Linked DNA regions of Struthio camelus. The protein of the gene in region 2 interacts with the protein of the main gene of each other region in a biochemical or structural test. Links are inferred from orthologs where the notes say so. Each region holds a gene or a part of one and is shown on either strand. Other genes may lie near its edges.

Region 1 (16,375 bases), on a different chromosome or scaffold from region 2:
CATTGTCTACTTCACTACAGAACAGGGTTTGCTTCCCTTCCCTCCGAACACGCCACCCTCCCATGAAAAGAGTAAGGGTTTATTTCCTCACTGGTGTGTACTATTAACAGAGGAGAGACTGCTAACTTCTTTGGCAGATGGCCCTGTGGGAACTGATACACACTTATTCTCGTGGAAGTACTCTCCTTGGAGTGCAGTACATGAGTTTTTAGGACTTCTGAGGACAGGAGGCTGTTTGCTTTTCACTGTGGCCTGACTCTCACACTGCTCAGAACCAGCAGCCCTTCCTACAGCAGCAACTGTCAGCAGCACGACATCATTTGGTTGGCCAGTTACAGCCCAGCGGGAGTCAGGCTGGGACCACCGACCACTCGGTGACAGGCCCTGAATCAAATGGACAAGATGAATTTTGAAGAGAGCTCAGTTCTGTGGGAGGAAGTAAATAGTGCTATCCAGGCAGTCAGAGGAAGAAAATCTCTGCGACGGCAAAACAGCACACTCGGGGGCTGTTCGTGCTCCACAAAGGTCAGATCAGTTCAGCACATACTCTGGAAACTAGCATTTCTTCCCTCTCCGTTGCAAAGGGCTGAGAAAAAAACACTAGTTTCAGGCAGGTCCTAACAGAACTTCCAATCTGCGCACGGGCTGAATAAACCAGTCTCCACATCTGTTTATATCTGTTTATAGGTCTGCACGCCAACAGGCAAAGTGGTTCAACTTACCAAGAAACTCAAGCGGCTCAAGTCAGGATACACAGATGGTTCTAAATGAATGAAACCGCTTTAAAAAGCTGGCCCGAGAGCTTTCGCAATAGACAGCGGACCCTGACACGGGCCATGGGTCGCAGCAGCAACAAGAGAATTCAGAAGTGCAGTCTCTGCTCCCTAGAAGCCCACCCTTATCTAACCACACCAAACAGGATGCCTGCAGGCCTCCTGATAAGCCCAAACATAGGTTCACCATTGTGATGGCGCAGAGGCAAAAGGACTGAACATCTGAGCTATGACTCCCTCCTCCCCCCACACTCCTGCCACAATCCCCACCTTGGGAATCAGAGCCAACTTGTCCCACTTCTACCAGACAGAAGGGTCCAGTGAAACAAAATGCCCTTGTGCTTATTATCTTAACGCCTGCTTTCATCAATAGAAACACAAGTTGAAGGCAGAGGAGAAATTAACATGGCAGCACCAACAACACAGAGTGCGTGAAGCTTAAAAAAGGGAGAGTAATGTCTAGCACGCTCTGGGACTGAGCTCTAGTCAGCTTCGTGCGAGAAGAAGGGGAAGTGTCAAAGCCGGGTTCTCTGCGGAGATCTTGCTTTTCTGCTGGCCAGTAAAAATCTACCAAAGAAATTTGCAGCCTTTCTCCCCACGATCGTGTCAATACTCTGCCAAAAAATGTCTGTGACCCAGGAACACTGCAGATGGCAGATAGAGCCATGTGTCTTAGCAGAGAGAGGGCTGCGGCGTTCCAGACATTCAGAATAAACTTCGGCCTCTTATTTTTTTTTTTTTTTAATTTAAAATTTTCCTTTGCGATTCCCCATAGCTGGCATTACAGGATTTCATACTTGTCCACCAGGAAGGTGGTCTCAGTAGAAAACCTTACAGGACTGTTCCCATCTACCTGGGTCACTTTGGTAACCTGTGGAGATAACACACACAGTTAGTTCAGCATTTAGCACTGTACTCCCAAATCACACACAGCTAAGCAGAACTTTCCGATTAGCTCTTGAGACAGTCACAAGGATAAAATTAGCCCATCACTTTGAACCACAAGTCGGTACTGCAAGATCGATCTTTGTTCCCAGGAAACCTGAGAACAGGGGAAAGACAACACTTATGTCCAACCTTTACAATAACTGCGTGTCTCCTTAAAGCAGCCTGCAAAGAGTTAAGCACTTGCGAGCTACAGTTCAACGGAGGATAAACAAAGAGCCGTACGCTGAGAAGTCTTTTTGCCTGCAAGGTCGATAGATTCTCTAACATAAGTTTGAGGGCAACTCATTATTTAGAAGAGACACGAAGGCACAACTCAAACTGCGGGCAAGTTCTAGGAAGCTGCAGTTAGCAGAACTGTTCGCTGGCACCAACGAATCCAGCTAAAAACATCATCTTAATACTAATGCCTAAGCCCTCGCTAAGTGGGACAGCGGCGCACTCACCTCGTACCCTATGTCCCACCATGGCAGTTTTCAGCCAAAGAACGACCTGAGGTAGCTTGAAAGAGGTAAGATTCACATTGTGAAGCACTGGGCCTGCAAGGCCGTCTTCTTTAGTGTTGCCTACTCTTTCACTCAGACCAGCTGGGAGGCAGAGGAAGGGGCAATTTCAGATTCACAGAGAATAAGAGCAAAGCAAGAGGAGAGCACAGCACTGTGACAAAGAGCTGTCCTTGAGGAAGAAGACGGCCTATCTCTCTGTCACCTCTCTAGAGAAGACGACAGCACAATAGGGCAGACATCTAAAGAACGTCAGCGGCACAGGTAAGCAGACGCCACAAACGTAGCCAGGCAGGCTAAGGGCAGCTCCCCTCAACGTTATTAGCATGAAACAGCAACAGCATGTTCTGCAAGCACCCCCAGAACTTTCGGCTCTTTCAGAGCAAGTCCTGCACCAGCTGTGACCATACCTGTATGTTGCAATAGTTCTTTTTGGAGACAAAGGAGACTTGCACTGGGAAGAAGTCGTTTGGCTGCCCTGCTATGCTGAATTCCAGGCTGCCGCTCTTGTTTTTGGCATCTATCACTGGCAGGCACCACTCAAGGAGATTTCTCCGGCTATCGTGGCGATACTCGCCATCAATCTCCCCAATCACTGGGGCACCGACACCAGACCTAGAGCAGGCAACAAGGAGCTACAATAGCTTATCTGTCTATAGCTAAGGGTATGTTTGTCAAGGCCACAGGCATGAGCCAGACCTACAAACCAGGAAAGGAAAGGAACTGACAGGATACGGGAAGGCGCTTGTCAGCTTTGCACGTACGCGGAACGCTACTTACGGCAAAGGGATTGTGATGATCACGTCGTTCAGTTCTAGGCTTTCCTCTTGCAATTCATATTCGATGTTAACGTCACAATTGTTCCCACTTTCTGATGGCCAGCAGTTAACTGAGGGCACAAAAACAGTATGCTGACCCATGCAATCTTTGCAAGTGAAAGAGGTGTTCAAAAACTAACGCGCTTCAAAACCACAGCACAGTTATCACCGAGAAATTCTGACTTGAAGAACAAGAAAAAGCTGTTATTTGAGGGCATTACTGAAAACAGGACACTAGTGCGAACAGGTACTATCTAAACGGAAGACAAACACAGGTCTTCCCACCTCTGCACTCTGGTGGTCTCACAACATATCACACTCCAGAGCCAGCTGCACTTCTGCAAGGCAGGGTACAAGTGGGCAACCTGCGGCTGAAGACCAGCTTCTTCTGCCCAAGCTCCCCAGGCCACGTACAAAAGGCCACAGGCACGCTTGAACTCACTTGTCAGCGGAATGAAGGACTCTTCTGTGGTTTGCAACCTCCATTTCAGCACACCCACATCACTGTTAATAGGGAATGATTTCTCTGGGTTCTTCAAACCAATCTGCGATTCTGCAGTGAAGAGCTTCTTGTCCACGTTTGGGTGAGTCTGAAACGGGAACATATGCCCAGACTGTGCCTGCCACTGTGCTAATTTTAAGCCCTGGGACAGAACTGTACGGAGATAACTCAGGTGATGGCCCTACGCGTCCCTGAATATTTTCCCCTAGAAAACGCACCTTTTCATTGTTCCCTGCTCAGAAGCCCTACTGGACCACATCTGCTTATCACGGACCACATCTGCTTATCAACCTAAAATTCTTTCCAGCAAACGTTGATACATTAAGAAAAATCCACGTCACTGGAATTTTTACCTGCAATTTAGCCCAGACACTCTAGCAAGGGGAGTCCAGGGCTGGTAGTTACAGAAAAACTGTAATGACTCTTAAAATCTCAAATAATGTTTTAAAAGCATTCGCTCTTGAAGAAAAAGTGGCCTCCTAAAACGTTTCAACCTCACGCTACCTGGAAGAACACCTTGAAACCACAAGAGCACTACTTCTATCAGCAGCCTTTATGCCTATACTAACCCAAATGATGGCAGCCAAACTCCATTTAAATACGCTCTCATTGCAGCATCAAAGGTGAGCAGCTTTTTAAAAGCAAAGGATTTTTGTTAGTTAACGTTCACGTTACGCTAGAAAGACAGGAGCCAAGACTGGGTTTGATTTAATCTTCCCCCTGAAGCAGCACACGTGGGAGTACTGTTCAGAACTTGTTTATGAGATGAGCTGATAAGCAACCTAATACCTTACCAACAGACCTGCAGCCAGCTAAGTACAGATCAGTTCTTGGCCTGAGGAAGGATGGAGCAACGCAGCATATCAAAGCAAAACAGTCTTCAGAGCTCAGTAAGGTAACAGAAATACAAAGGAAGAAAGGGAAGAACATCTCTCCAAGAATCTTCTGAGGTTATAGTACTAACTGTAACCAAGGGCTCCAGCTCTGGCAATTGCTTTCGATACTTACAGCAATGGCAGAACACAAGTGACCAGTGAGGAAACAGCTTTCTAGATAATAAATTCATTCTTCATTGGCACAGTAACTTCATTTTTAACACTCCTGCTCCACAGCTAAAGCCAACATGATACAACTAGCATCAAGCAACACACCAGACTGCTGCAAAGTCCAAGTGAAATAAGGTGGCTTGCCAATGTGCATCAGCAGACAGATAAGGCTCTGAAGGTATGAAGATAAGCATGAGCCTGGACTTTTCAATTGAACTTTAATCTTTTCAGCATGAGCTGGCCCTATCTTTACGCTGCAGTAGCATCTGCAACAACTACTGGCACTTTCAATGCATTTGCTGAGAGCTGGCCCTATGTTTATGCTGCAGTAGTGTCTGCAATGACCACTGGTATTTCCAATGCATTTGCTGAGAAGGCTTAGACAAGAGCGTAGTACAGTGGCATGCACTGAAGCAGTTCCCACATTTTGCCCTGGAGAGCAGCAAAAGCGTGTTCAGCAGCATGGAACACCAAACAGCCTTTACCTGTAGCTGCACTCCCCTCTTGTCTTCGTTTTCTACATGGAGGCGAATCCGTGCAAACTTTTCATCAGAGATGTGCAGTACGATCATGCCATGCAGCTCCATGTTCTGTAACCCTCCATCACGGCCACAGGTCAAGGAAATTTTTTCTTCTATTTTCATGTGCACACTAGACAGAAAAAAAGCAGTATCTCAAGTCCCACACTTGGCATCTAACAGACAGGATGGGAGATTAGCATTCAGCAAGGACAGGCTGTATACTGAACAGGTGCTCAAAAGACTGCGATAGCCTCAAATGGAATAGCATGGACAGCACAACAGACGCACACAGCAACACTGCTCTGGGAGGTTAACTGGGGGGGGGGGGGGGGGGGGGGGCGCGCAATGATCTGCAGATACAAGTCCGGAATAAACTGAAGTCCAGATAAACAATAATGATATAGCATCTTGCTATGCTGTTCACTGAAAATCCCTTTAATTTTACTCCCATGAGGCAAGCTGCTGTAAAGGTGCTGAATTGCTGCATGAAAAACAAACTATGACTACTTGTATCCTATGGCACAATTAGACAGGAAGTCTTTGTGTCTGGGGAATAGAAAAAATAGCAGCTACATTACCTCATCTGAAGGCAAAACATCAGGAAAGAGAGCAGCGTTCCAAAAAGCAAAGGAAAATCTCCAATCTCAGCTAAGCAATGGATGTACATCCCTTTTTAATTAAAGCAGTGTCTAATCAAATGAGCTATCTGGCTTTTTTTTTTTTCCCCCCCTATGTGCTTTCTAAGATTTTGCCCATGACCTTTTACAATTAACATACCAGATCAGCACACAAGACTAACAGGAGGAAAAAGCCCATTCCGAAAACCAAGGAGGAAGATTTCTGATAGCTCTTTAAGCAACATCGGGATCATACAGATAACTGTAAGAACACTGCTTTCAAAGCAAGGACAATACCTACCTCTCCATGTTAACGGGAGGAGCAAGAACTTTGGCTGCTTCTGCGGAGCGTTTGCCTACAGAAGTCATGATATTTTCTCCTTCCGATTTCAGCTTGTCCACAAAGTTGTCCACCTCCTTCCCTTTAGCTCCAAGTTTCAGAGCTTTACTAGGACCTGAGGGCCTAAAGGACAAAAAGCATAAGCATCTCCAAGTCAGTTTATGGCAAGAGATTCATCCTTCCTCAGCTATCATGCATTATTACAACTGGACTATCCCCGCATTGCCACATTCGCCTTTGCAGCCTTTTTCAGGGCGTACCAAGTATACGACAGATGGTCTCGTACGTAGGACAATAGATTACAAAGTAGATCTGGATTCCGTTCCCAGTACTACCAGTACCTGGTACCCTCATATTCTCAGACACAAAATGAGAAGCGCACTGCCCTTCAAGGATTTTATACTATGAGATGCTCAGATGCTACAGTGACCACGTATCATAAACGCTCTTAAACAACAACAGGCTGGTCTAAAGACCACGTAACACATACTGGTCTGTAAGCACGCACGTTAAAGGCTTAGAGGTCAACAAACACATGCCAGCAAAATTAAGGGGAGTGGCTTGACCGTATCAGCAAGGACGGTAACCCAATGGGAGGGCTACACAAATAAGCCATAATTAGAGAGTTGCACGTTTTTTGCAGGAGCAAGGAAGACAAAGCTCTTGACCTCCAGAACATAGTGCCAACCTGGCCAAACCCCACCAAACTGGCAGACGCCACCAGCGTACAGTCCACAGAGGACTGCTCCCTTATGCACCAAGGCAGGCCAGTTATTTTAGTGCCCCTCTTTATCAAAAATATTAAAGCGACAAGAAAATTAAGCCGCTGGGGAAGGAGAACTGAAACCTTTTATTTGGGCACAGAGTTTTCAGCCAGTGCTAACTCCAAGGACCATTCGCTACCTACTACACACGTACCTGGCAGGCGCTGGTGCCACTTTGGGCTTCTCTGTTTCAATGATGGTCTCCGTGATCATCGCTGCAGTTGTGCCTCCAGACACAGCTGAACTACCAAAGCCACCAAAACCTGGTGCCTTTTTGCCCTGTCTCTCTGCATCCCTCCTGGCCTGCTGCAACTCCTTTGCTTTACGGCGCATCTCAGCTTTTGCCTCGCGTTCCTGAGTCTGAAGGGGAAGATAAAAGGCTGATAGAGCTTTGGGATCTCAGTCTGTGCCACACAGCAAGTAAAACTAGGCTGATTTGCTTGTAAAGCCATTGTGAAGGAAAAGAAAACAAAAGGTAAACATTTAGCTTAGAGAGAAGCAAAGCGACGTTAAGACCCGTATCAAAGCGGAATAACGTTTTTTCATTACAATGCAGCCTTTCCCAGACAGGGAATACCAAACTTGAAATTACTTCAGCTCACCTCTCGGACAGCTCGGAACACTTTTTCTTCGTGTGAGTCCATCTCAGTGAAGGTCCGTATTTGTGCCAAGTTTACGTTCTCACGGTAGCCCAGGGCAACAATTTCATCAAAAGCAAAAATCAGGTCAAAGCAGTGTTCAGAGATCTCATTCTCCTCCAGAGCTCGACAATATTCAGGGATCTAGGGAGGGAAAAACACGTAAAAAGAGTCTTCATAGAAACAGACGCCAATACGTTTTAACGTTTTCTTTCTGTTATGCCCAGACGTCAAATTTGTGCTAGATCCCCCACAAGACCTGCATGCTACTGAGCTCCTTAATGTTCCTCTCTGCTGTTGATAAACAACAGGATGAAGTTTTGCCATACTATTTACGTTATTTTTTCCTAACTCAAAATATTTAGACAACCTCTTAACTTCGCAACATTGTAACTCACAGAAACTTACGCAAACAAACACTGCACAGCTAGAGAACTTCCTGAAGGTCCTCTGGCTGTATATGACAGAAACAGGTTATAAAATTAACATAGAGACATCTGCACAAACATGCTACTTAGAAACGCCTTGAAAGTAGTGTTATACTTGCAGTAATCACATGCTGTAATGTCACGTTATTTTGTTTTTTGGAAGGAGTACAGGTGTTGTCTTAAGAATACAGCAAATATTTCATGCTAAATTTACTGTAGCGCCATCCCTTCAGTCTCACAACTTAAACTACAACCGAAAATTTTCTAAAATTTTCTGTAACTCAAAAATATTACAGAAACTTACAAGATCAAGATCACTACCTACTTCCATGTCAGGAACAGGCTCTAGAAAATGAAAATCTGTAGAGATGGAGGCAGACAGCACTTCAGTAATAACTCACCAGCAGGTTCCCTTATAATAGCATTGTTTCAGGCTACATTTACATGAACTTGGCATACAGGGATCTGAAGTGTAGATCCTTACCACTCTGGAGAAAAGTCGGAGTGTTTCTAGGTCTTCCAGGATGTTGCTGTTTTTGGTGGTGATCAGCACCATGTAGAGCTTCTCCATTGGCTGATATACATACCGCACGCTCTCTGTTTCCACAAAAGTGTGCTGCTTCCCAGTGTTCATGAGTTTCGGGAAAGCTGCCAGCAGCCCCTCGATGCGGGTCCGAGTCATCTCCACGAACTGCCGTGAGACAATGGCCTTCCCCGCCTTTGTGCAGACGGCTGCCGCCAGTAGCACCTGGGGAGAGTCCAAACATCCAGTCAGCTGCACCCTTCAGGGAGCAGGTCTCTGACACCACGAGGTCTCTGCAAGTCCAACACGCAATTACTTGCCCAAAGAGGGGATAGTTTCCAACTAACATTAAACACAGGACTGTTTTGCAACGTGATGTTTCTCCTCAATGCCACATCTACAGTAAAGTCACGTTAACAAAATACGGAAAGCTATATCGATTACAGCACGTGGGTGACCCTCCTGGGCGTTTCATACATGTTACCGTACCAACAATACAAAGGCACGGAGGTAACCGCCCATTTACATTCTCTGATTCTCTCAAGACTACCAAGGCTCCCTTCTGAAGTTCCTCCTCAAGGAAGATAAGCTTTTTAATTTAGTCAACATAAGGCATTTTCGGCAGCTAAAATCTTTTAAATCCCCAACCGTTGTCTATTTACAGCTCTCTAATAACGAAGCATGTACTAGCAGCTATCAAACGCAAGCTGATTTAAAGCCCCACCTGACACTCAGGGTAACAGTGCTCTGCGTATGGCCAGGTGAGACATTTGGATGCTCTGATAAAACTGTCAAACTGTTTCTGGACTGCCCTAGGGGCTCTGTAGCTTGACAACCCAGGGACAAACGGGTCCTGACGCGAACAGGCCAGAAGCAAGCTTCCATTGTGTAACTGCCCCGTAGGAGGTCTCACAAGAGGGCCAACTTGCACCCAGCATTCACACCGTGCTCCTAACAGGCAGGTCTCCTCTTTCACGAGGCAGCCCAGCAGCAGAGAGTACGGCAGTCTCTGCTGAGAGAAACGACGCTACGGATGGGAAACAAGGCACAAGATTTGCTCCAGCAGAGGAAAAGCTCGGAGCTGCACGCTGCCTGAGGACGAGAGGGGCTGACCGGCCGCCTCCGGAGCCTGGCGGTACACGCCGGTGCTAGAAACCACGAGGCCTTGCCAGAACCGGCGGATGTGACAGCCTAAGCGACCTTTAAAATGAAGCTGATCAAGCCTCCCCCGGGCAGCAGCCAGGGTTGGGCGGCCGGGCGCCCCCGTCACCAGCACCGCAGCTCTGTGCGAGTGCCCCCCGCTCCCGGAGCCCGCCCGCGGCCCGCGGCCCCCGCCCGGCCCGGCCCGCTCCCCAGCGGCCCGGCTGCCCCAGGCCGCGCCACCGCCCCCCGCGGCCCGGCCGCTGCCGGGCACCTCCTCCCGCCGCGGCCCGGCCCGGCCCGGCCCGGCCCGGCCTTGCGCGCCCGGCGGCGGCCCCCGCGGCTGGCTCCGCGCGGGGCGGGGCGGGGTGGTGCCCGGCGGCCCTCACCATGGCGGCGGCGGCGGCGGCGGCGCTGGGCTCCCGCTCGCTGCTCCGCACCGCCCGCGTCTCCTCGGGCAGCCCCACAAGATGGCGGCGCCGAGCCACGTCCCCAGCCGGAAGCGGCGCCACGCACGGCGCGGCGGGGCGGGGCCCGAGGAGACTCCGCCCCCCGCCCCCCGCCCCCCGCCCCGCCCTCGGGGCGCGGCGGGTGCCCCTTCCCTGCCGCGCGCCGCTGGCCCTGCAGGGAGCGCCGAGGGCAGGCGCTGCGTGACCATAGAGGCCGGCCGGCCGGGCGCCCGGCGGGCCGCTCTAGCTGCGGCCGGCTAGCGAGGCGAGGCGTCGCGCCAGCCGGTCGCCATGGCGACGGCGCGGCGCGCGGGGGCCATGGCGGAGGCGCGGGCGCTGGAGGTGAGCAGGCGGCGGGGCGGCTGGCGGGGCCGGGCCGGGCCGGGCCGCGCCGCCTCAGCCCGCCCCTCCGCCTAGACCCGCCTCGTCGAGGACCAGCCGTACGACGAGAGCCTGGAGCTGCCCGAGGCCGAGGAGGCGGGCGGCGCGGCGGGGCGGCCGCCCGGGGCCCGCTCGCCGCCGGCCGGGCGCCGCCGGGGCCGCCGCGGGCCGGGGCCGGGCTGGGCGGGCGGCGGAGCCCCGCGGGCGCGGCCCGGCCGCAGCAGCGACGAGGAGGGCGGCGGCAAGGTAGGCGCGGCGGCGGCGGGCGGGCCCGGCCCGGCCCGGCGCGGTGAGGTGAGGTGAGGCCAGGCCCGGTCCTCCCGCCCAGGAGCAGGCGGGACCGCGCCCCGCCGCCGCCCCCAGCGAGGACGAGGACGACGGCGACGAGGATGACGACGACGACGACGAGAGCTCCGAGAGCGACTCGGCCGACGAGGAGGAGGAGGAGGAGCGCGGCGCCCCGCTGGCGGGGTAAGGGCACCGCTATGCTCCCGCCCCCAAACCGCCCCCCCCCCCTTTGCCCACCGACTGCCTTTTGGCAGATCATCTACCCCCTTGGCACGTCCGCCAAGCATAACTGTTCTGTCATCGCCGCTTCTTTAAATAACTCGACAAACTAACTCCCCGTCATTGAGGGGCTTCTTTGGCTGGGATGCCTATGGCAAAAATCAGCTGGGTACTGTTAGCACATGCAGGAACTCTTGTGAACGTTACAAGACGTTTCTTCTGAGAGAGGACTGGCTATTATGAATTCCTTTGTAATTGTGTTGTACAGCTGGATCCAGGTTCTTGTCTTTCTCCCTTTAGTGTGCTTGTACAGAACCTACTGTAATTTACTCTTCATCTGAACGTCCCTTCCTTTCCCTAGTGCCTACAATCCAGCAGACTATGACTATCTGCCAGTATCTACTGAAATTAAAGAACTCTTTGAATATATAAGGAGGTGAGCTGAAGGAGTTTTAGCCTGCGTTTGACTCTCCTTTGTGTTAATGGTAAATTCTGCAGGTAATTTCATAGGCACCTGCACTGCGTGTGCATGTGTGTCTGTGTGTTTGTTTTTCAGGTACACTCCCCAAATAATACAAATTGAGCACAAACTGCAGCCTTTCATTCCCGACTTCATTCCTGCTGTTGGAGACATTGATGCATTCTTAAAGGTACACAGTTTTTCAGGTACCTCTCTATCTCCTGCTGCACGTGCTGAAAGAGTATGTGGCATTGCTGTGATTTTGACAGTCAGGCTGTGCAGCAGAGAGCTACCCTTGCTCTGAGAGGTAGGAAGTAAAGTACTAGAGACCTAGGAAATCACACTCCAACTGATTGCGACTGGTGTGGTCAGCTCCGTGACCTTGCAGAGCAAAGCATACCTCCTTTGAGGTAATGGCTGCACCTTGCTTTGTCCAACGCCTTGTGCATTTCAGGTGCTGCTGTAATGACAACTCATACATTTGCTTTTTCAAAATAGCTGGCCTACCACTTGCTTTTACAGTCTGAAGATTGAGTGACACAGAAGGTCTACACGGAATAGCCCCTGCTTCTCCTCCTCTGGAGTTGCACAGAAAACAGGTTCTCTGTTTATCTGCAGGTTCCACGTCCAGATGGCAAACCTGATAACCTTGGCCTGCTGGTCCTAGATGAGCCATCTACAAAGCAGTCAGATCCCACAGTGCTCTCTCTTTGGTTAAAAGAAAATTCCAAACAGCACAACATCACAGTGAGTTGTGAGGGGAGAGGAGACATTACTGCGCACCACAGAAAAAAAATTACATGTTACTTTTACTCTTGTGACTGCATGAATACAGTGTTGCAGCAAAACTGATAACTTGGCTTTACAAACAGAAGGAAAAAAAAATATCTTTCCCACCTTTAGGCTGAAATGCATCTAAAACTTTGCTTCAGGCAAGTCTTGGTACAGACATTGGATCTATTTGTTTCCTTCAGCTGAAATTTTGTTTCCTTTTGTTTGTCACTACATGGTTTTACTCAGCATTTTGTTTCCCAGCTCCTCTTCTGTCTGCAGAAACCACTTGGCATAGTGCAGCTAGGAAAGAGCAAATGCACAGTTCAATCAGGAGTGAACACAGGGTTTGCAAAAAAAAAAAAAAAAAAAAAAAACTACAATGTGTTTCCAGGTTCATATTTTTGGTTTCAGCAGCAGATAAAAGTGAAGAGTATAGAGAACGCAGAAAAGAACCCCAAAGCCATTGACAGCTGGATCGAAAGTATCAGTGAGCTGCATCGTTGCAAACCCCCTGCCACGGTCCATTACACCAGGTGAGTCATTACACCAGCTCTCCTTTACACTAGCAGCTGCACATACTTGTCTAGTATAAAATTGGGTCAGGGGAAGGCTAGTTGCAGAGCCTAGGAGTGCTGAGTGGAACTATCCAAGTGTCGCTAAGAGGGAGAAGGCATTTCTGGCTTTACAGGGCAGTCATACAACCTGTGTATGCAGGACACTCGCTTCCCCCTCTGTCCTCCTCTTTCCCTGTGTAACTTGAATTAATTCAACAGCTAGGACATCTAACTTGCAACTTCGTGCACACAGTGAGTTTCCACAAAAGCGGGAAAACCTGGATAAATCAGAGGAGGCAAGGCTATTATTACCATGTCCTGATTCATTTCTCAGCTGTTGTGGCACTCCCTTCTGCCCAAACTCATAATTTGGAACTGTCCAACCTCCCTCCAAAGGATATGCTGTTTCCAGCGTCTTCCTTTAGCCGCAGTGCCAAGCACAGATGTTGCACCTTCAAAGCTTAGTCTTGGTTTCTTAAATAAAAATGCCCAAACTGATGCTCCACAGACACGCTACGCTTTCCCACAACTGGACAAGACAGAAGCTGTCCCATTTATACGAGTCTGGCAGTAGGAAACCATTTCCATTGTCTGCATATAATCCTGAAGTAGGCGTTTTTTTTCTCCCCTTGCAGACCAATGCCTGACATTGAAACTCTCATGCAGGAATGGTTACCAGAATTTGAAGAGCTCTTAGGAAAGGTACGTTGTCCAAGTGATGAGTAGTTAGCTCAGTGCGTGATTTTAGTAACCTTCTTGCATGTAATCTAGGTTTCTGTTCCACTTTGACCACTTCGCCTGTAGCCTGCTCGGTTCAGGTTTGTTCCTCACCTACCCCTTCTCCCTTACCAAGAGACAGGGGAGCAGCCTAAAGCCTAAATTCCCAGGAACGGCCCAGGTAGCCTCTGTGCTGGGCCTATCGTTAGCGCCTGTGCTCAGGCTCTAATGTGAACAGAGCTGACAGCCTCCTCTGTTCTAGGTGGGCCTCCCAACTGCAGAGATAAACTGTGGCCTGGCTGAGTACATCGACATGATATGTGGTAAGCAGAGGATAGCCCTTTCTTACCCTCATTTGAAGGCATCTGATTGTCTCTAGCCCAGAAACTGGCAGAAAATAGAAACGTGAAGCTTTAAAAGATACTGTGAGGTACAACATTGTCTCATGCTGGTCTCTAGAGGATGTCTCAGGCAGTTATTAGCTCGGCGCTATTCCTCATTCAGGGGCTTAGGTTCTGTCTACTCTGCTGAGCAGGCCGATCAGACTGATCAGAGAACTCCCCTCCTGTGCCAAGTGTTTAGATGGGAAAAAAAGCAGTCCAGTACTTCTAGGTCCTTCTGCATATTCAGGACAGACCAGCTCCAGTCCTGTGCACCACTGACTGCTGAAGACACAAGTGTGCAGCTAGCCCAGCACTGTGTTACTAAAAGCAAGAGGCTTATGTAGATGCAGTCTCAGCCCTGAAAAGTCAAGACTGTTTTCATCTGCCTTCAGCGGGAAGTGGACTCTTGTGCCAAAGACATGTGTGGTCTTTGATGAGCAAAGGCCCAAGCAACGGGAGGCAGTGAGAAGGTCAACCTGTACTTACAGCACTGTCTGCACAGAAGTACAGCCCAGGTGCTCTCGTGCATTTCTGGTATTTGTTTGTAGCCATTCTGGACATCCCTGTGTACAAGAGTCGGATCCAGCCTCTGCACGTCCTCTTCTCGCTCTACTCGGAATTCAAGAACTCACAGGTAAGCGACTCCAACCAGGCCCCAGTCACCCAGCTGGGAGCATTACAAAACTTCTGTCCTTAAATCTGGCCTTGCTACACTGTGTGCATTTGCAAACTGCTAACAGGCCAACGTGAAAGGGGCCCAAAGAACATTTTCAAAGCTTCTCTTTTTCCTAATATCTCAGAGAAACGATGTTGATCTTGATCTGATTTACCACAGGGCTGGGATGCAGCATTGTTTAACAGTCCAGCATAAGTCCAGAATGTTTTTCCCAGTGAAGTCACAGTGACTGTGCCAAGCACACACAGGCGCTTGGACAGAACTAGGTTGGAAACCTCAGAGGCCAACACAAGGTGCTAGGCAGCTGCTGACCGCACAGGTCATACAGAGGGAAAGGGGCTTGTGTTTTCAGATGCACATATATATTCTAGTTAACGAGAGTTAAATCTTTGCGCTAACGCGTTATTTTCCCTGCAGCATTTCAAATCCCTGGCTGAAGGGAAGAAGGCTGGGAGCCCTCCATCCAACCCACCTTCCCAAGCAGCAGAAGTATTAAGCTTTATGTGAAGCTTCACATTAAACCCTAATCTCCTGGATCAATATCTGCTGCTGGGTATAGAGGTTTGACCAAACTAACGCATAAGGCAAAGCACAGCGTTTCGAAAGACTCCCGTATTTTATGGACGCTGCTAAGCTGCTTGGGATTCATAGCATTTGTTGCAGATGCTGCCTAATCCCTCCATTTTGACTTGTTCCCAAGGAATATAGCATTAAACTAGCTCTTCCAACTGACAGACTCCACATGACACGCTGCAGAGTACAGACTTGTAGAGTGCACCCTACAAGCACTACAGCAGGTGGAAATAAAATCCATGCTCAGACCCCAAACTGATGCAGCTGGTGTGTTCTAAGGTCTTACCATATTCCAGGGATCTCAGGTCTCCTCTGCCCATTGTTGTTGAGTCCCTTTTTCTATTCTCAAGTCACTTTGTTATGAGCAACAGTGTCATTGCTACCTTTCTGCACTTTGTGCCAAAAAGTTTGTGAAAGCAGGAAGAGCTTGGGAGGGGGACAGAACTCTTTGCTTACCTCTGGCTGTGTGCAGGTGGCAGCCGGTGACACAGGACACATTCCCCTTGGGATCCTGGTGGGTCAAAGGTTGATGAGGGCAGCATGTTAAAATCTAGCTCCCACCAGCTGTTTTAATGGAGTTCAGCAGAGAAAGAAACGATGAGAAATAACCAGTGCAGCACTACACAGACACTTGAGTTTAGTTTATTGCTGTTGGGAAGGCTCTTTCCAGCCGCTGGCATGCTGCCTGCCCACACGTCTGTCACAGCTCTGGCAGAGGCGGCGAGGTTCCTAGAGCAAGCAGGTCGCAAACCTGCTAAGCCCCAGGCTGGTGCTTACCCTTGCTCTGGGAGGAATCGAAGCAGTAGCAGCTTGACAAAGTCTGTCTATAAACAGCTTTGTTGCGTTTTGATGATAATGTATTTTTAAAGTGCCTGAGTTAAATAAAAACATGCCTTGGCTAACAGCACAGCTACCGAAAACAATCAAGGGAGCTGCTGCCAGCTCGCTACTCCGATGCATAGCTTAACATATTGCCAAGGGGCTGCTCAGCGCCAGCGACCCAGCGTGACTCCCCTGGCACCCTCAGCCCTGCTTGTTCCGACACTGGTACCCGTTGCCAGGCAGGCCCCCTGAGCTCTGGCAGCTTTCCAGGCATGGGAGAGCTCGCAGGTGGCTTCAGGAGTTGCTCTGTCCAGAAGGATGTTCACGAAGTAAGGCAGACTAGCACCACGGCAGGGCACACAGCTCACAAGTGGACGTTACTAAGGGCAAGAGCTGGGACACGAGAGCAGCCCAGGGTGTGGAGCAGCCTCCCGGAGCAGCAGTGGCGGCTAGGGGGCTGGTTTCTCTCAGGACTTGGCTATGCAATGTCGAGGGGCAGGTCCCAGGTGCTCCCATACTGC
Region 2 (16,052 bases):
GCATCAGGTATAAGATGTTCAAAATTTCTTTAAAAAAAGAAATCACAATTAAAAAGACTATTATCAAAGGGCAGAGCCTAAAGCTTAATTGCATATCTTCCAGACAAGTGTTTAAAAAAAAAAAAAAAAAGCATAAAACAAGTCATGAAACATAGCTTTTGCGTAGTTATTTGAAACCGTGAACAGATCCAAGGAGCTTAAATGAAAAAATTGTTTGCTATCGTGACAGCTAAGATGATATCCCACCAGTGATTTTGGTTTAATGGTAGCATTCATACTGTTTAGGTAAGCAACTGCAACAATGCTTCAGGATGTAACTGCAGTAAATTATTACACGAAGAATGTCTCACTTCAAATAAATAAAATATATCCATATTCCTGTAAAGATTCTTCTGTGCTTATAGTTGTGTGGACAACCATTACTATTAATGCTTATATCATTAAGAAAGGTATTTGCCCACACAAATTATCCTGCAGCAGGAGGACCTCAGTCATACTTGAAAAAGCAACAGCAATACCTTTCACTTTTCCAAAGAAGTTTATCAGATAGAGGAGGGAAGAAAACAAAAACAAAACACAACACAACACACACACACCAAACTCCCTCCTTTCTTTCCCCCCCACCGCACCCCCCCCCCCCAATTAACAATGACTTATATTGCTGTCCTTGCTAGGCATTTATGAGATCTCCGAAACTATCTACGTCAGCAAAGTTAGCCTTGGTCTTCTGCCTCTAAAGCTGTAAACAGTTTCTGGCATTTACCTATAAATTGTGTAAATTGCCAGAACTGCATTTCTGCGCACATAGCTGTGACGATGTTCTAAACATGCACGAATGGCTGGCATCAAAGGCTCCAATAATTCTGCTTCCTTCAGCTTACAAAGAAAACGAAGAGTAGAGCCTCGGATAAATTCATTTGGGTGCTGAAGATCCTAAAATAAATAAGAAGCATATCTGAAACGCCAGACTCTACAACCTAGTTAAGTTCAGATGAATGCACTTCCTAGCCTTTTCCCACACCAATTCTTTCCATGGTACAAATCCCAAATATCAACAAGGACATCTCACTGTCTTCTCATGAAATACCTTCTTAAAACACTGCTGTGCCACAATCTTTAAAAAAAAGTATTTCTGTGTAATGAACTTTATAAAATTTGGGGGTGGAGAGCTGGGGGGGGGAGGGGGGGATTGTTGCATTGTGTACATTTTCCTCTGATGACTCAAGCTGTGGAAGCTCACACTGCAGGCATTCCTGCACAATGGACACTAATCTCCAGTGAATATACTGAATTAACATTCACCTGCTTCCCATCAATTCCCACAGAACTTGCGGAACGATATTATCTTTGTGAAGCAGTGTCACAAACAGACTACAGTTAAGGTATTCCAAAAGTAATGTGCTTCTTTTTAGAAAGAAGGCTTGTCCCAAGACACTGTGGAGAGAGTAGTCACCTTTCCTCTTTGAAGTTCACCAACTTGGAAAGTAAAAGTACTAAATCTTTCTTTAGTAATAATAGTAAATGAACACGTAAAAATTCCTTGATAATAACTTTGTTAGTTATCTAAAAGCTATCCAGCTCTGAAACAGCGAGACAAAGCACTTAGGAAGCAAACACTGAGCATATACCATATATGTATATCTATATATACTTAGAAAAGTAATGCAAAATGATATACTTTATACAACGATCCAGCACGTGACCATAAGCAATAAACAGGCTACCTTCCTATATGCATCGCATACAAGGATCATTTCTTGCAAAAGTCTCCCATCTGGAGTGGTCTTTGGAACTATTTCCCAAAAGACCAGAAGCAGTTTTTTGATGGTATGATCTTGAAGAGGCAGTACAAAACGTATAATGGTCATCAGAAGCCCAGGTAGTTTTTCACCATTTAGAATCATAATGATTACTTTCTTCAAAGCTTCCGTCTTCAACTTGACATCTCCTTTTTCTAGAAAGGATAGAAAAATTCAAGAATGCAAATCATAGTAATTATGAAATCAGAAAGTCAGAGTTTTAAAACCTAATAATACTAATTTTTGATGTCAGAAGATACCAACTCCCTCATATGGGGTGCAATATAACATTACCAATAAAATTCATCCCCTTAGTTATCAGGGAATAGTTAAAGAGCAAGCCCAAAATTCAGATCTAATTGCAGATTAACATATTCCAATTAACTGAGTTTAACAAATTTTGCCACTAAACAGCATTTTATACCAGGATACTATGAGGCACTGTGATGTTAGAGACACATTAAAAACTAACACTGGCACTTCTGCAAGCAAGATACAGTAATGCACTGAACAAGCGATAAAGAGATTTATATCACTGCATTACGTAAATCTGAACATACTTCAAACAGAAAGATAGAAACACATTTTGAATTTTTGCACAGAGCGGGGTAGGGGGAGGAAGTCACACAGTATGTAGATAAATACCACGACGTATTTCTCAAAGCACAGTGAAGAGAGGAATTTATACATTTCAGAAGTCAACAAAGTAAACTCCAGCAAGTCAGTTTGATTTTTATACAATATAAACAGTATTCTAGGAAACGTATAATGAGAGAAAGTGAACATAACTCGGGTATGACTGAGTAACCTTCAAATCATAGCTCATTACTTGCCTAGGTCATTTTTTAAGCTGATTTCAGAAGGTGGCTCCGAATCCATTGGAACATTGATTAACGTGTAACACACGTTCTCTGCAGCAGTCATTGTTCTCGGTTACAAATGTTTTCTCAAGGGAAGAATTGCTTTGTCTGACAAATATCAAGACAATCTAAAAACAAGCAAACAAAACCACCCCAAAGTTAACAGATTTTATTAACAAACAGCACAAAGGTGTTTTTGCAACTTTATGATTTCAACAAATTGTTGGGTTTCTCGAAAAATCACATTCAAAAGCCTTCTCAATGTTTTATTACACTAAATGTTCCTGTTAACCTAAAATGATGTAAGAATATGAAATTTCCCAAAGTAACTGGCCAAAAAAAGTAAATCAAAAGAAATCTTTCCGATACTTAGGGTACAGTTAGAGAGGACTGAAGCATATGGACACCTGATTGCCACTGAATGGATGCAGCAGCTTTTCCCTCTTCTACTCACCCCTCTGGTCCTGGCTATCCGTTCCCACTGTTTTCCTTGCACGTCTGTGGCCCGCCAGGGCACCAGAGCGCAAGGGCTCAACCTTTGACTCAACCTGCAAAAAAAACCTGAAGAACACCACAACCAAAAAAGGGAAGAGTTTCCTTCTTATATAACAAGTTGAATCAGCCCATGAAGGAAGCTTTGAAGATGAGCGTGAAATCCAACAGAGCAGAAACCAAGGACGGGAGAAGGGAGGACATGACGGAGAGGAAAGTAGGACCACCGTGTTATCTGCTAAAAATCATTAGAACAGCTCAACTCAGCGCAACTGATCCTCTAGTCACCAATAGGAGGAAAGTATTTGCATGAAGAAGAAGTACTAGAGGATTACAGGTCCACTAAAGGTGCTGTGTGGCGGACAGTTCAGATAACAAAATGAACCATTAACTTAAATCTTCATTTTCTTTGCTTGTCACTTCCTTTTACAATAGAATTTTGGGATTACTTTTTTTTTTTTAATTCCATTTCCTAAATAATGGAAAACACTCCAGTTTGAGCTTGCTCACTTACTACTCACTACAGTACCATACGGAAATGCAGAGTAAAAAAAATTATTAGTTTTCATTACTTGGTGAATTCTGTATTTTCTACAGAAGTTCAGAGAAGAAACTACTTTGTACGCACATTCTACATTTACTATAGTTAATTGTCTTGAAGTTTAGACTGAGGCTAACAAATCATTAAAACAGGGAAAATGGCTTTTTACTTTAAAGTATGATACTATGTATACGTATAAAAATACACACTTGCTTTATGTAATTATTGCTATTAATTAATAACAGGGCCAAGTGAACTAAACTATCTCTGTCACAGGCTGAGATTTGCATGACAGATCAAAACACTAAACTCTCCAATTTAGGGTTACACTTTCACTGCAGTTTGCTTTCAACACTTAAAAGAATCCTCTGAAGTTGGATAAGCCTGAGCAGGGTTATAGCTCCATGACACCATGCCTTCAATAACATGCCAGTTTAAGAAGTTACTGCCTGGGATATTAGTTCCTACCCCACATCACCTCTTCACCTGTGCTGAGGCAACTCTTGAGATGTGAACCCTGTAAATCCACCACCCTTACTTTACTTTTAAAATAGTAAGAACAAGGGAGAACAAAAACCCTACATCCATTCCCAGTCTGCTTCTCCAAAAAAAGAAGAGGCAAAGTGGGCCAAGGAGTTGCAGTGTCTGAACGAATGGCTGAGTAACTCCACAAGCTGATACTGCAACCAAAGTCCCTTTTCTTATCAAATGGTCAGCTGAAGAATCTCAGCCTAAACAGTGAGTAGGGAAGCTGTGCTAACTTGGGCTGTAGCCTTTTTTTTTTTGCCTCAGAGGCTCACAGGTTTGAGTAAAAAGCACCACTGCTCCCAAGCTACAAGAAAAGAACACAATTAGAACAGTATCACAAATTCTGCTACTACAAAAAAAGGGTTCTAACACAACATTTTTTAAAAAGCCTCTTTCTGTTATGCTTTTAAGGATTAGATCCTCCAAGCTCATTGTTTCCTCTACAAATGGCTACATAAATCAATTCTAGCATTTTTCAGAAACAAGAAAATTCTTGCTTCACCAGCAGCTCTTTCCCTCTATCCCATTCCCTTGGCCAGAGCTCTTGCCCCAAAGCTCTGCAACTAGCATCTTCATTTCTATCAACTTCATCAAGCAGATAATAAAATACAGTTGTGAAAAAAGCAGGTAGAAAGAGTCCAACTGCAGAAACTCCTTCAAAATCACGGCAAAACAGATCTCTAAACGAGGAAAACACAGACCCATTTCTTAGGCTCTAAAAAGCAGCAGTGAAGGGAAATTCTTAAAATACAGAGCTGGGAGACTGGGCAGCAGGAACAACCAGTTCTTCCTCACAGAGAAGCATCAAGCCTTGGAACCAGCATCTTCCCATTCAAAATTTGATCTTACCAAGAATACCCCAGATAAGGAGAAAGCAGATGCTACTCTACTTTCCCAGCAATAAAACTGGAAAACACCCACACTTGTATATGGAAATCCAGAGTAACACAGTTTCCAACGCACGTACAAGGAGGCAAAGAGAACATGCCTACTCTCCAGCTACAACGTCCTTAAGAAGCAAATGAATCCCCACAGAAGTTAAACATCAGTTACGGTGCTGGCAGAATTACAACGACAGAGTTTTATTTTAAGCTTTGGCTATTAATATCTCCGGAATCTAAATTTTTGTATTCAGCTATTTTCACTCAGCTTTGTAGAACAGAGCTAAAGACCTCTGAATTACAGAACACTGACACAAGACGTTAAGGAGATACCTTATCGAGCAAAACCCTAACAATGCATCATTTCACCTCTGCATCACCTGGGAAACACAACACACAAACTTGTATTAAAGTAACCCGGAGTAAGTTTAGAGGATCATAGCCACATCACAAGGGATTCTCTCCTCGCTTTTCCAAGCGACTAATTCTTGCCCGAAACACCTCGCACAATTAACTATGACTTAAAAGTTAAAACGTTTGGTTTTTATTCTTTTCCTTACCGTTCCCCTGAAAAAACTTCCGAGACACGCCAGCAACCCCCCCCTTCCCCGGGGAGGCCGCACCCCCCCCAGCACACACACGGCCGAGGAAGCCCCGAGCCGCGGGACAGGGGCTCGCTGCTCCCTTTCAGCGCCGCTAACGGCACTGCCGGCTGCGGCCCTCAGGCCGCCTGCCCAGGAAGGCCCCGGCCGGCCGCGAGCCGAGGGGTCCCGCGGAGTAGGGGGAAGGGCCGCGGCCCCGCAACGGCCCTAACGGCCGCCCGCCCCCCCCCCAACGGCCGCCCCGCGGCTCGCGACCCCCGCCCCGGCGAGGCCGCCGGGCCCGAGGCGCCGTGGGGCGGGCTCCGCGCGCCATAAGCGCTGTCCCGCGCGGGCTGCGCACCCAGCTGGTGTGGTGCGTGGCGTGGCGTGGCGGCGCGGTCCGGCGCGGCCCGCGGCGGCGGCGGCAGCGGCTCCCGGCAGTGGCGCGACCCGCTCCGGCGATGGCTGACGTGGAGCCGCTCCCTCCTCGGGCCACATCGATGGTACGGCGGCCCCAGCGGGACACACCTCCCCTCGCACAAGAACGCGGACGGGGCGGGGCGGGGCGGTGCTGCGTCACGGCTCGGGGGAGGGCCTTGCCCCTCTGACGTCACCGCTTGCTCGCTAGGAAGCGCGGGCGGAAGGCCGGGGGGAGGGGAGCGAGGAGCGCGCGGCCGGCCGGGGCCCGCTCGCCATTGCGTCAGCGCCGTGACGTCATATGCACCATAGGGTGACGCTGCAGAGCTAAGCACGTCCACTGCGACAGCCTGGGCAGGTGGCACGGTGGCAGGCAGCACGGGGGCAGGCGAAGGCCAGGCCGGGCTCCTTCAGCCTGCCCCGCTTCTACATCAATACATGCATCGGACGTTTACAATGGAAAAACAACGCCAAATTCACTTTGTTTATCACACTGTAGCTTCAAATGTCTTTTGCATCTCTACCTGAAACACGGGCTTCCCTCGGAGACATCGCTAAAGAAATCTCTTTTCAGTAAGACTGCTGCCACTGCTATAAATGGGAAATTACTCTTCTCACTTCAACTGCTATTAGTGTAATAAAACCCAATTAAAGTGTCTAACGTTCGCATGATGTGCGTGCATGACACTTGGAAGAAAAATCTTCATTGAAGCTGATCACTAATAGCAATGGAGTACAGAAAATGCAATATGTGCATATTGCATTGCAAATGCAATCAAATTTTGTGACATTGAACTTAAATCCAAGCTGTCACTAAACAGAGTCCTTGGGTAGACTCTATAGCACAAACCAAAGTGACAAAACCAAGAAGGAATACAGAGACTAGATAAGTCAGGGGACCTGAAAGGGCAATTTAATATGTTTCCATCATTACTTACATGTAGCGCATGCATTAGTGAGCTAAAAAAGCCCTTGGCTACCTGATGGCTGTTTGATGGCCCTAAAGAAATGAAGTCATTCATTTCAGTTTTGAAAGACCTGAGGTTTATTAAAAAACACAACTGAAAAAGCTTACTGGCAGCTTCATGCTTATTCTGTCTGCAATAATTCCAGTAAACACTCATAATTAGAAATGTCTGTCCAAGTCACGAGTGAGACAACCACAATAAAACAGGCGGAAGCTTGATGCATCCTACATGTTCTAGGACTACTTTGTAAATAGAGGGATTCAAAGTCCTGTCAGTGCAATACTTCATGAGCACTATATTTATATAAAGCAACCGAGGGCTCACAAATCAGTTACTGTTTCAATGTGACAAATAGTACATGATTGCATCTTGATAGCACATTGATTGTATGAAAGTAGTATTTGAGTAGCTATTTCTTCAGATTTAAAAAAAAATGAACAGTACATTCCAAGAAAGATTTATTTCCACTTGTCCTTACAAGTTAAAGACAGTATGCTTTTCATTAAAAAAACAGTATTGTGCACTATTTAGAAAATGGTAACACCTTTCTTGTCAAAGAAAATATGTCCAACTATCCTACCATTTAAGGATAGATGGGCTAGTTTGTTTGTTTGTTTTTATAGCGTAATCCTCAGAATGTGTCAGTAGAAGACGCATATAGGTCAGGAGAAAGGTTACCAGCAGATGGATATATGTTCCTGTATAATTATACATAGGTAAACACACAGCAGAATTCATCCATCAACTAGTGCTCCATGGGCTCCTCTGCCTTTTCCGCAGGTTCATCAGCGGGCGGAGCAGGCTTAAAGAGAAGAAAAAAAAAAACATATTATAGAAGGGAAGAAAACAGTACCTAGCATATCCGCTTTACACTAGATTGAGTATCACAAGTGGTAAAAGTAGCTCACATAAACAAATAGCTTACAAGCAGTATTATATAAATCAAGCATGGAGAAGGATAGAGCTGGTAATTAGAAGACTTGAGGAGGCATCTTGGGACAGACACCAGGAACATATGTAGCCACTTCTGCTACAAGAAAGTGAAAAAAAGTAATCTTAAATAAGGAAAGAAGATGAAGACATTGGAAAAGCCTTCTGCCAATTTATCGTAAACTGATTTAATAAGCAGCTTAGCCTCCAGCTTCAGTCTTTAGACAAAGATGATATGTTGCCTCCTGTTTTCATGTAGCAATGTCAAATTTTAAAACTGCATACCTAAAACCCTACTACACTAAGAAAGCTAAATGTCCTAAACATAATAGGTCATACATCACAAAATGTTGCCTTTCACCAAAGCCTCTTTATTTGTATATAAAACACAAACCTTTCTCTGTGGTCTCTCCTCAAGACCTTCTAGGAATGGTGCTACGTCATCATCATCATAGATGGTAAACTCCATGTCTTTGCCCACAATTCCAATGGAAACATTCTGTTAAGGAAAATTTTGAAAGAAGTAAGACACGTTTTTCTGCAAATAACTTGAATCTGTTTCACAAGTGAAAACTGTAAAGCCATTAAGTTTCCTCCTGTGATAAAGGGATTCACTTTGCTATTGTGTCTACTTAAGGAAGAGAGGAATTCCGAGATTCCCTTTTTGGTAGGTTGTACTAGAAAAGGAAAGGGAGGCAGAGAGGGAGATTTATTCCCTACAAAAGCTATCATGCTTTGAGATCTTACCAGTAAAATCACTATTCAATGATTTCAATTTCTATTTTTTATTTTAAATAACAAATACCTGATTTTTCAAAATCACTGATTCTCATCTTTTTTTTCCCCCCTCCCTTTTCCTTATCGTAAAAGTTCTAACAAAACAAGATGGGCTAAGAGTAAAAATCTTAAACACAGATAAGGGCAGATCAGCCACAAACATAACACTAACTTTTGGTAAGAGATCTGCTTAGAAGTTTCTTGTTCAAGAGCTGGTCAGTTCATATTTCCTGGCAGAGGCTTTGCATCTTTTTGGTATTGGATGCTCAATCAACTGTTTGCATAGCTGTGCTCTGACTGAAGGGGCAACTCCCCCCTTCCTTTCCAGTCCTTTCCAATTGCTGATTGGGCTTACAAAGCAAAGTGATGATCCAGTTGTGTTCAATGCATCTTAAACACTGATCAAACCTTAAAATAGAATATTTTACGCAAGCAGCCAGGAAAATGATGCCTTACTTAGACAAAAGTATCATTTTATTATGGTAAGCAAACAAACAAAAAAAAATTACAGATGAAGCTGTAGGTAAAGTTGTCACATATGAAATGGAGATGACGCTCTCCACCACTATTTGGCTTCCAAATTTCAGTGCCAGTCATACTTTACATTAATTTTGTCATAGCAATTTCTAATAACAATGGCAGTAAAATTTCTTCTTAAACACACAAAAACAAACAAAAACAAAACAAAAACATCCTAGTATTTACCTTGGTGGTCAGATCTTGTTCAGCAGGAAGAGTCTCTCTCAGGGCACGCAGTCCATGCTTAACTAGCTCATTTAGATTACCTACAAATTAAACGCAATTAGAAAGACATTTACGAAATAATACAGTTGAGTCTCTTGAGACTCTTTTGCCCTTCCTCCTATTCCCAGTTGACAACTAGAAAAATCAACCTGGCTATTTTGACTTCCAGAACTGCGCTCCTTATGTATTTCCGGTACTGAATATAGAGTTGGTTATCAAAGTATACTTCAAGAAGTGAGCCTTTCCTTACACTTCAGGCCAAATGCATCCATTTTTGGCACCTGCATTGTCTTCAGTGCAGTGATACTCAAGCTATTTTTTCCCCAACCAGACACACAGTAGCCTCCAAATAACTTTCATATAAAAACAAATTTGCGATTTTAAATCCACAACCTAGAGACTCATCCTGAAATATTATGCCTTCTCTGTAATACAAAGAATTGCTCTTTCCCTGAGTTACACAGGATGGAGACTTTGTACTTTTTTCTCAGCCTCTGAACAGAAACTTCTTTTTCATTAGATCTAACAAAAATCCAGATGTTAGAAATGAAGATTTGTAATGTATTCTTTACAATTATTGTCTTCATGCAGATTTACACTTACACTAAACTTGGCTCCCAAAGTTTATCTTCCCATTTTACTAAACACAAAAGGATGGAGCAATAGCACGAAAAAAAACTGTGCAACTGATGAAGACCATCAGATAGACAGAGTTTCATTACTCACAGTCAGTAAACTCAGTCATGTGCCTCTCCAAGTAAGTTCGAGCTGACTGTGAACGAGCACCAATGGACATTGCTTTACAGTCAAAATAGTTTGCAGAAGGACAGGTCTGGAAGATGTGAGGACCCATATCCTACCAAAAGGGAAAACAAACAAACAAGTAAACAAACAAAAACAATACATGTTTTTTTTTCTAAAACAAAGATTTGCTTCATGATACATCACATAGCTTATGTCTAAGCACAGATATATTTTATATTGTTTATCATACCATTGCTCTTACCAATTGCTTCAAGTCTTATTCTAAATAAATAAATAAATAAACAAACAAACAACAATCCTCCTTCATACTTTGTTATTTGAAACATAATTTTTATGCAGGTAGGATAGCAGGCACCAAAAATCTTTCTTTCTCTGTTCCATAAGCTGTACCATGCATACATATGCTTCCCACCTCATGGCTTGCAGTTAAATATTTCACACACGTTCTGTCTGATCTGTGCAAGTGTAAAAACCTGCTGTAGATTTAAGCATGTCATGCCAGATTTCAAGCAAGCTGCCCATTTCCTTCAACCTTCTTCATGCGAAATATCTTCAGCGCAGTGATTCTCTTTGTGTACCATAGTAAGTAAACTATTCTTGAAAAACAAGTAAGAGTGTGTCCAGTGAGGCTTTCCACATCCATTTAGAGTATTTAAAAACAATAGTTTGTTAAAGATCCATAACCACTAGTAAAATAATTACCGCTATCAAAGACTCACTTCAGCTTATAAACATTAACATTTTGATCCCTGAAAAAATGAACAAGTCTACTGTTTGCAGTTTTGCACAGAAACACAAAGTGACATTAAAACACAAAGATCATTGCAACTTCATTTCAGAAGATCCATTTTTTCATAGTGTTTCAGTGTAGGAATCCCTCCCTTCAAACACTTCTGAAATTCATGTCCTGCTACAGCATCTCATTTTGCACCTTAAAATAATTATATTTTCATTTTTGCAAATGCATGCCTTACAAGTGTAAGTAGGATTAGCCACCAATTACCATTTATAAAAGTTATAAAACTTATAAAAGTTATGTTTTAGGGTAAGATGCAGAAAATGATTCCTTAATCAGAATTTTGACAAGTTTGCCTCTTCCTTCTATCTGTCCCTCTTAACATTTACTTGTATAAAAGTGAATTAACCACTTTTTTTTTTTTTTTTTTCTTTCTCCATCAACAGTAACTGGCACGCTATACTTACATCATAACCTGCGATGAGCAGACCAACACCATATGGTCTTCTGCCATAACGCTGCGTTGGTATCTGGGTTTCTTAAGCAAGCTAAGGAAGCATTCTCAAGAAAACATGTTAATTACCTAAAACGTTTTCCTAAGCCAAGCAGAGATGCACCAAAGTTGTAATACAGCTTTTCCCCCCCACTAACAGGAATTTCTTTGAAGAAATAGATCACAGGGCTTATTTGGAATACCAACACTAGCTCTTTTTCACCAAAAAATATTTAGCAACTAACTTTCCCAAAAGAAGTGAGTGGTGCACTCAACCAAGTAACACAAACAGTTCACTTAACGCTGCGCAGCCTCATTTAATTTCTTTTCCCTTTGAACGTTTTGTGGGCACTTGATATCAGAATACAAGGGCACCATTGTGTTCCATGCAGAGACAACTAAAGCCGCCACAGAAAAAAATCTGAGTAAATCTGAGTAGCTGCGCTGCAATCCAGTAAGTGATGATATCTTGAATCGTGTAGTTATCTTCCCCCCCCCCCGCCCCGCTCCGCTCCAAAGGCAGTGCTATGTAACAGAAAAAGCAGCACCATGTTAAATGTTGCATAGCACTTTGTTGCTTTTCTACCAATTCAGCGTGTTACAAGGTATACTTTAAAAGGACAAGCAAGCAGTATGAATAAAGAGAAACTAACTTTCATGCTAAATTTATAAAGTTAATTAATTTTAAGTTGTGATATATAAAAAACATTTTAAGAACAAGTATGAAGAAGTGTAAAAAAAAACTGTAAAAGTTTAACAAGTGCAAAACAAACAAACAAACAAAAGGATACTGCTTCCAATTAGTGACACTAAGCGAGAGACTGGAAGAGGTCTGTCAAACACAAATCTGGAATCCAGGCACTCCTGACGCATGAAATTGCTGAGTGAGGGGGTCACAGAAATGGGGGGTGGGGGGAAAGAGGGGGAAAAAAAAAATCAAACCAATGCATAGTGAAAGTCGCAATGAGATTTTGTCTCAATATTTGTCTGTTAAAATATATTTTTCAGCTCTGCTTGTTAAGAAAAAGGGTCAAAGGCACTACATGATTTCATTTCATCATGACCTATAATTGTTATTTAGAAGACTAACCACAGGCTTGAAAGATTATTGTATTATTTCAGCAATACAAATGAAGGGAAGGTAGAAGTTCATGCAGGCTATAGAAGGGTCATCTGGAAAAAAAAAAAGTCACATGTAGATGGCAACATTTCTTTCATTTCTTTGTAACAGCGATTTTTTTTTTCAGATTCTTCCTACACCTTCTCTGTCCTTCCCTCTAAAGCTGAGGAACTCTCCTCCTAGGAGACATTTACCTCATCTCCTGAGACTCTGTATCCAGCAGACAAAAGGTAAACTCCTCTGAAGCTTATGTATACAGCAGTATGTTTTTAGTAACTTTCTTAAACGTATACAGAAGGATCTACAAGAGGGAAAAACGTGACACCCTTTCTCAGGCTGCTTGGAAATCCCATCGCACTGGGGAAACCAGACAGAGGACTCTCTTACTAGTATCAAAAACAAAGAGCAAAATTTTGGGCCAAACAAATTAGATTTCTGCCAATGACTTAAAAAAAAAAAAAAAAAAGAATTTCTTGCTGAGGTCTTTGGCATAATACAAGAGAGCAGTAACTCAAGACTAATCCTTAGCTGATCATAAAAATCTCATTTGCAATAGTCTACAAATGAACTTTCACTTCATTATTATTGCAGAACTCTATATGTCAACCACTAAGACACTCACCACAGGAGTCTTGCATCAGCAGTAAGTCCAGCAATTGAGATACCAATATGGTTGTCAACATACAGGATTTTTTTCTGATGAGCTGCCAGCTCAGACTGTGCTCTCTATGCATGAAAAGAAAAAGCTATGTGGCAGACTGAACAGACTGCCAGTCACTGTTAAGAAATCCACTAGCATTTATGGCAAGAACTGAATATGATCATGAAACAATAATAATAAAGCTATAAACTTGTAACAGAAAACAAGAAAAATCTAATCCTACTTCAATAGGAGACTGTCAGAAAGAAAGAAAGAAGGGACACTCACTCAACTTTTGTGACAGAAAAGAAGTAGTTTTACTACTTAATAACTGAAGAAAAGAATAGAAGACCAATTAGCTTTTGAGTTAAAAACCTTTCACCAATTTCCTTCACTCCACCAATCTGTGAAGACCTGTTTAGCACAAGTATTGAAAATACGTATAGTTCTACACTGGTATTCAAGCATAAGGAAAATGGGATTACAAAGTACATTATACACAGCATAAAAGTTCAGACCGGACAAAACTAATTTCCCAAGCTAAAACTACTCTGCTAACATTGCTGTCCCCAGAACACAGTTTTAAAGTTACCTTTAGAGCAACCAGAACAGCATGCGTTTTTGATTTCAGCCCCACAGTAGCTGAGCCTTGTTTCACAGCTTCCATGGCATATTCAATTTGATGAATTCGCCCCTAGAGAATAAAATCAGTCTACTGTCAGTCTAAAATGAAGCCTCCATATCAATTTTCACTAGTTTTTGATTTATAGACCTTTGAGTCCCCTGCCAAACAAATACAAAGCCTGCATAACGTAATTTAAACCTACAAGCAATATACAGACCTCTGTGACTACCTTTTGCAAACTCCTTACCATTAACCTACCTAACTTTGGCCATCTCTTAGCCACTCACCACAGCATACAAAAAAAAAAAAGCAGGACAACTAAAAAGAAAGGGTGAATCCAAGCATTATTAGAACTGTGACACTTTGTCATCATCTTCAGTGCAACCAGTATTTAACCCAATGTGATTCAAAGATGGAACTTCTGGCTGAATCTGGATTCTCACTTTTATTCTAGTTTCCTAAAGAAATGAGTCTTAAGCAATTGCTGTGTCTCACCATCCTCTCCCTAATAACTTCTGAACCTATTAGTCAATTGCAGTAAAGTCTGAAAGAGGAGTAGAGGTCTCAAAGACAATTAAGTTTTATAAAAGTCAGCAGCTTTGCAGGAAAAAACACATCCTTTCAATGCTGCCACTGAGGGCAAAGCAGGTAATTTGCTACACTTTAGTTGGTCAGCTAAAATAAAACCAGTTGTGATGTTGTACTGAAACACAGCGCACAGCTGGAGCTATTAGAGTAGGCATGTGCCGAGGTTTCTTTTTTTTTGGGGGGGGGGGGAGGAGGAGGGAAGGGTTTTTGATGTGGTTTATCTGGAGAAATATAAAATCCACTAGATGTTTAACATCCCTTACATTTCACTTTATCCACTAAGATAATGATGAAATTTCAATAATATTGGGTATTTCCTCTCCAAGAACACTATGGAATCACCATAACCTGTCCAATATATATTTATCAACTGTCATGAATTACTTAGACGGCTGCAAAAAAACATGAAGCCCTTTCTAGCCTTTCATCTTGCATTTCCTTTTCCTTATAAATGTATCAGAAAACACCCACCAATAAAATATGATTATTCTTTGCTCCTGTATTAACAAAGCCAAAATAATTATTATGGTATTGTATCACTGCCTCTGCAGCCCAGCCATACTGCAACTACAGGAAGGTGTAGGGAAGTAATTGCAGCACAGCAGCAATTTTAAATGTCTTTTACAAAAAGTCATTAGCACTTTTCATAATTTCAAGGCCGTTTCTGAAAAAGTTTAGTAGTTAAATGTTATTGATGACTTCTTAATATCTACTGAAAAATCTCAGTAGAATGTCATATTTTTTAAAATAATTTTTATACCAGATTGCTAAAAAATTCAAAATTTAAGTCTCTGATACCACATTCACCACAGAAACACAACCATTTAAAAAGGATGAGATGTGGATGCAGGGTTCCATTCCTAGATACTGAATTCTGCCTTCTAATTTTTCAGATATTACACAGACATCAGTAACAAAGCTTTAACATAATTTGTTTTAATTCTATAATAAATACCTGAAATCTAGAAATTTCAAAATCAAACTCTAAAACTGAAGACGATTAGAAAAGATAACGTCCATCATGTTTGCGCTTCTTTGGCAACCTCCATATCCATGCCACTGAAGTTTATAAAGCTGAGCATGCATGACTGGAATTAAAAGGAACAACAAATCTAAGGTTCCTTCTGCATCCATTAAAGAGCTTAAAAAGCAGCAAAAAAAGCAGCAAAAAAAGACATAGCCATAGCAATGGAATACAACCAAGCAGAACACACCTTTGCTATGTAAAGAAATGTTTTACAGGCATGACAGAAATTAACAGCACAAAACATTTATTTGAGGATTGCAGAAACAAAACTTAAGAATTTTATTAGACCTCTCTCAGCCTGCATGCCATGCGAGAGACTTGGGAATGCCTAGGGAGAAACAGAAGCTGCCCGGCTTCCCCTTTCACAGTCTCAGACTATCACCAGCTTCACCTGATCAATTAAAAAAAGTCTCTGCCTGTACGGAATGGCCTGTGTTTGCTTATAGGAGATATATCTATGCAACAGTTAGGGCTCATTATTACAAAATAAGCTTGAAAACACAACCAAAAGAAGTAAAAACAGTAACGCAGACTGCCCTA

The links.
Region 1: the proteins of COPB1 (region 2) and ARCN1 form a complex in vitro, tested with the Homo sapiens proteins (2 studies listed by BioGRID). The link is inferred for Struthio camelus from reciprocal best matches to the Homo sapiens genes COPB1 and ARCN1.

The regions. Positions count from the first base shown.
Region 1 is NC_090963.1:340,045-356,419, forward strand, and holds the start of ARCN1 (coatomer subunit delta), read right to left. Parts: upstream 10,078-16,375; 5' UTR 9,951-10,077; coding exon 9,948-9,950; intron 8,644-9,947; coding exon 8,380-8,643; intron 7,612-8,379; coding exon 7,432-7,611; intron 7,190-7,431; coding exon 6,984-7,189; intron 6,189-6,983; coding exon 6,027-6,188; intron 5,239-6,026; coding exon 5,073-5,238; intron 3,630-5,072; coding exon 3,482-3,629; intron 3,111-3,481; coding exon 3,002-3,110; intron 2,837-3,001; coding exon 2,632-2,836; intron 1,645-2,631; coding exon 1,555-1,644; 3' UTR 1-1,554. Other genes in the region: IFT46 (intraflagellar transport protein 46 homolog), read left to right, coding at 10,299-10,349, 10,425-10,634, 10,717-10,859, 11,257-11,331, 11,452-11,545, 11,974-12,102, 12,541-12,662, 13,319-13,385 and 3 more. UniProt on the Homo sapiens protein: Component of the coatomer, a cytosolic protein complex that binds to dilysine motifs and reversibly associates with Golgi non-clathrin-coated vesicles, which further mediate biosynthetic protein transport from the ER, via the Golgi up to the trans Golgi network.
Region 2 is NC_090946.1:22,173,491-22,189,542, reverse strand, and holds the start of COPB1 (coatomer subunit beta), read right to left. Parts: upstream 6,308-16,052; 5' UTR 6,044-6,307; intron 5,935-6,043; exon of another isoform or gene 5,662-5,934; intron 3,239-5,661; exon of another isoform or gene 3,114-3,238; intron 2,788-3,113; 5' UTR 2,724-2,787; coding exon 2,633-2,723; intron 1,955-2,632; coding exon 1,725-1,954; intron 934-1,724; coding exon 764-933; intron 28-763; coding exon 1-27. Other genes in the region: PSMA1 (proteasome subunit alpha type-1), read right to left, coding at 7,813-7,869, 8,392-8,496, 9,480-9,559, 10,245-10,374, 11,487-11,557, 12,304-12,392, 13,255-13,358, 13,865-13,966. UniProt on the Homo sapiens protein: The coatomer is a cytosolic protein complex that binds to dilysine motifs and reversibly associates with Golgi non-clathrin-coated vesicles, which further mediate biosynthetic protein transport from the ER, via the Golgi up to the trans Golgi network.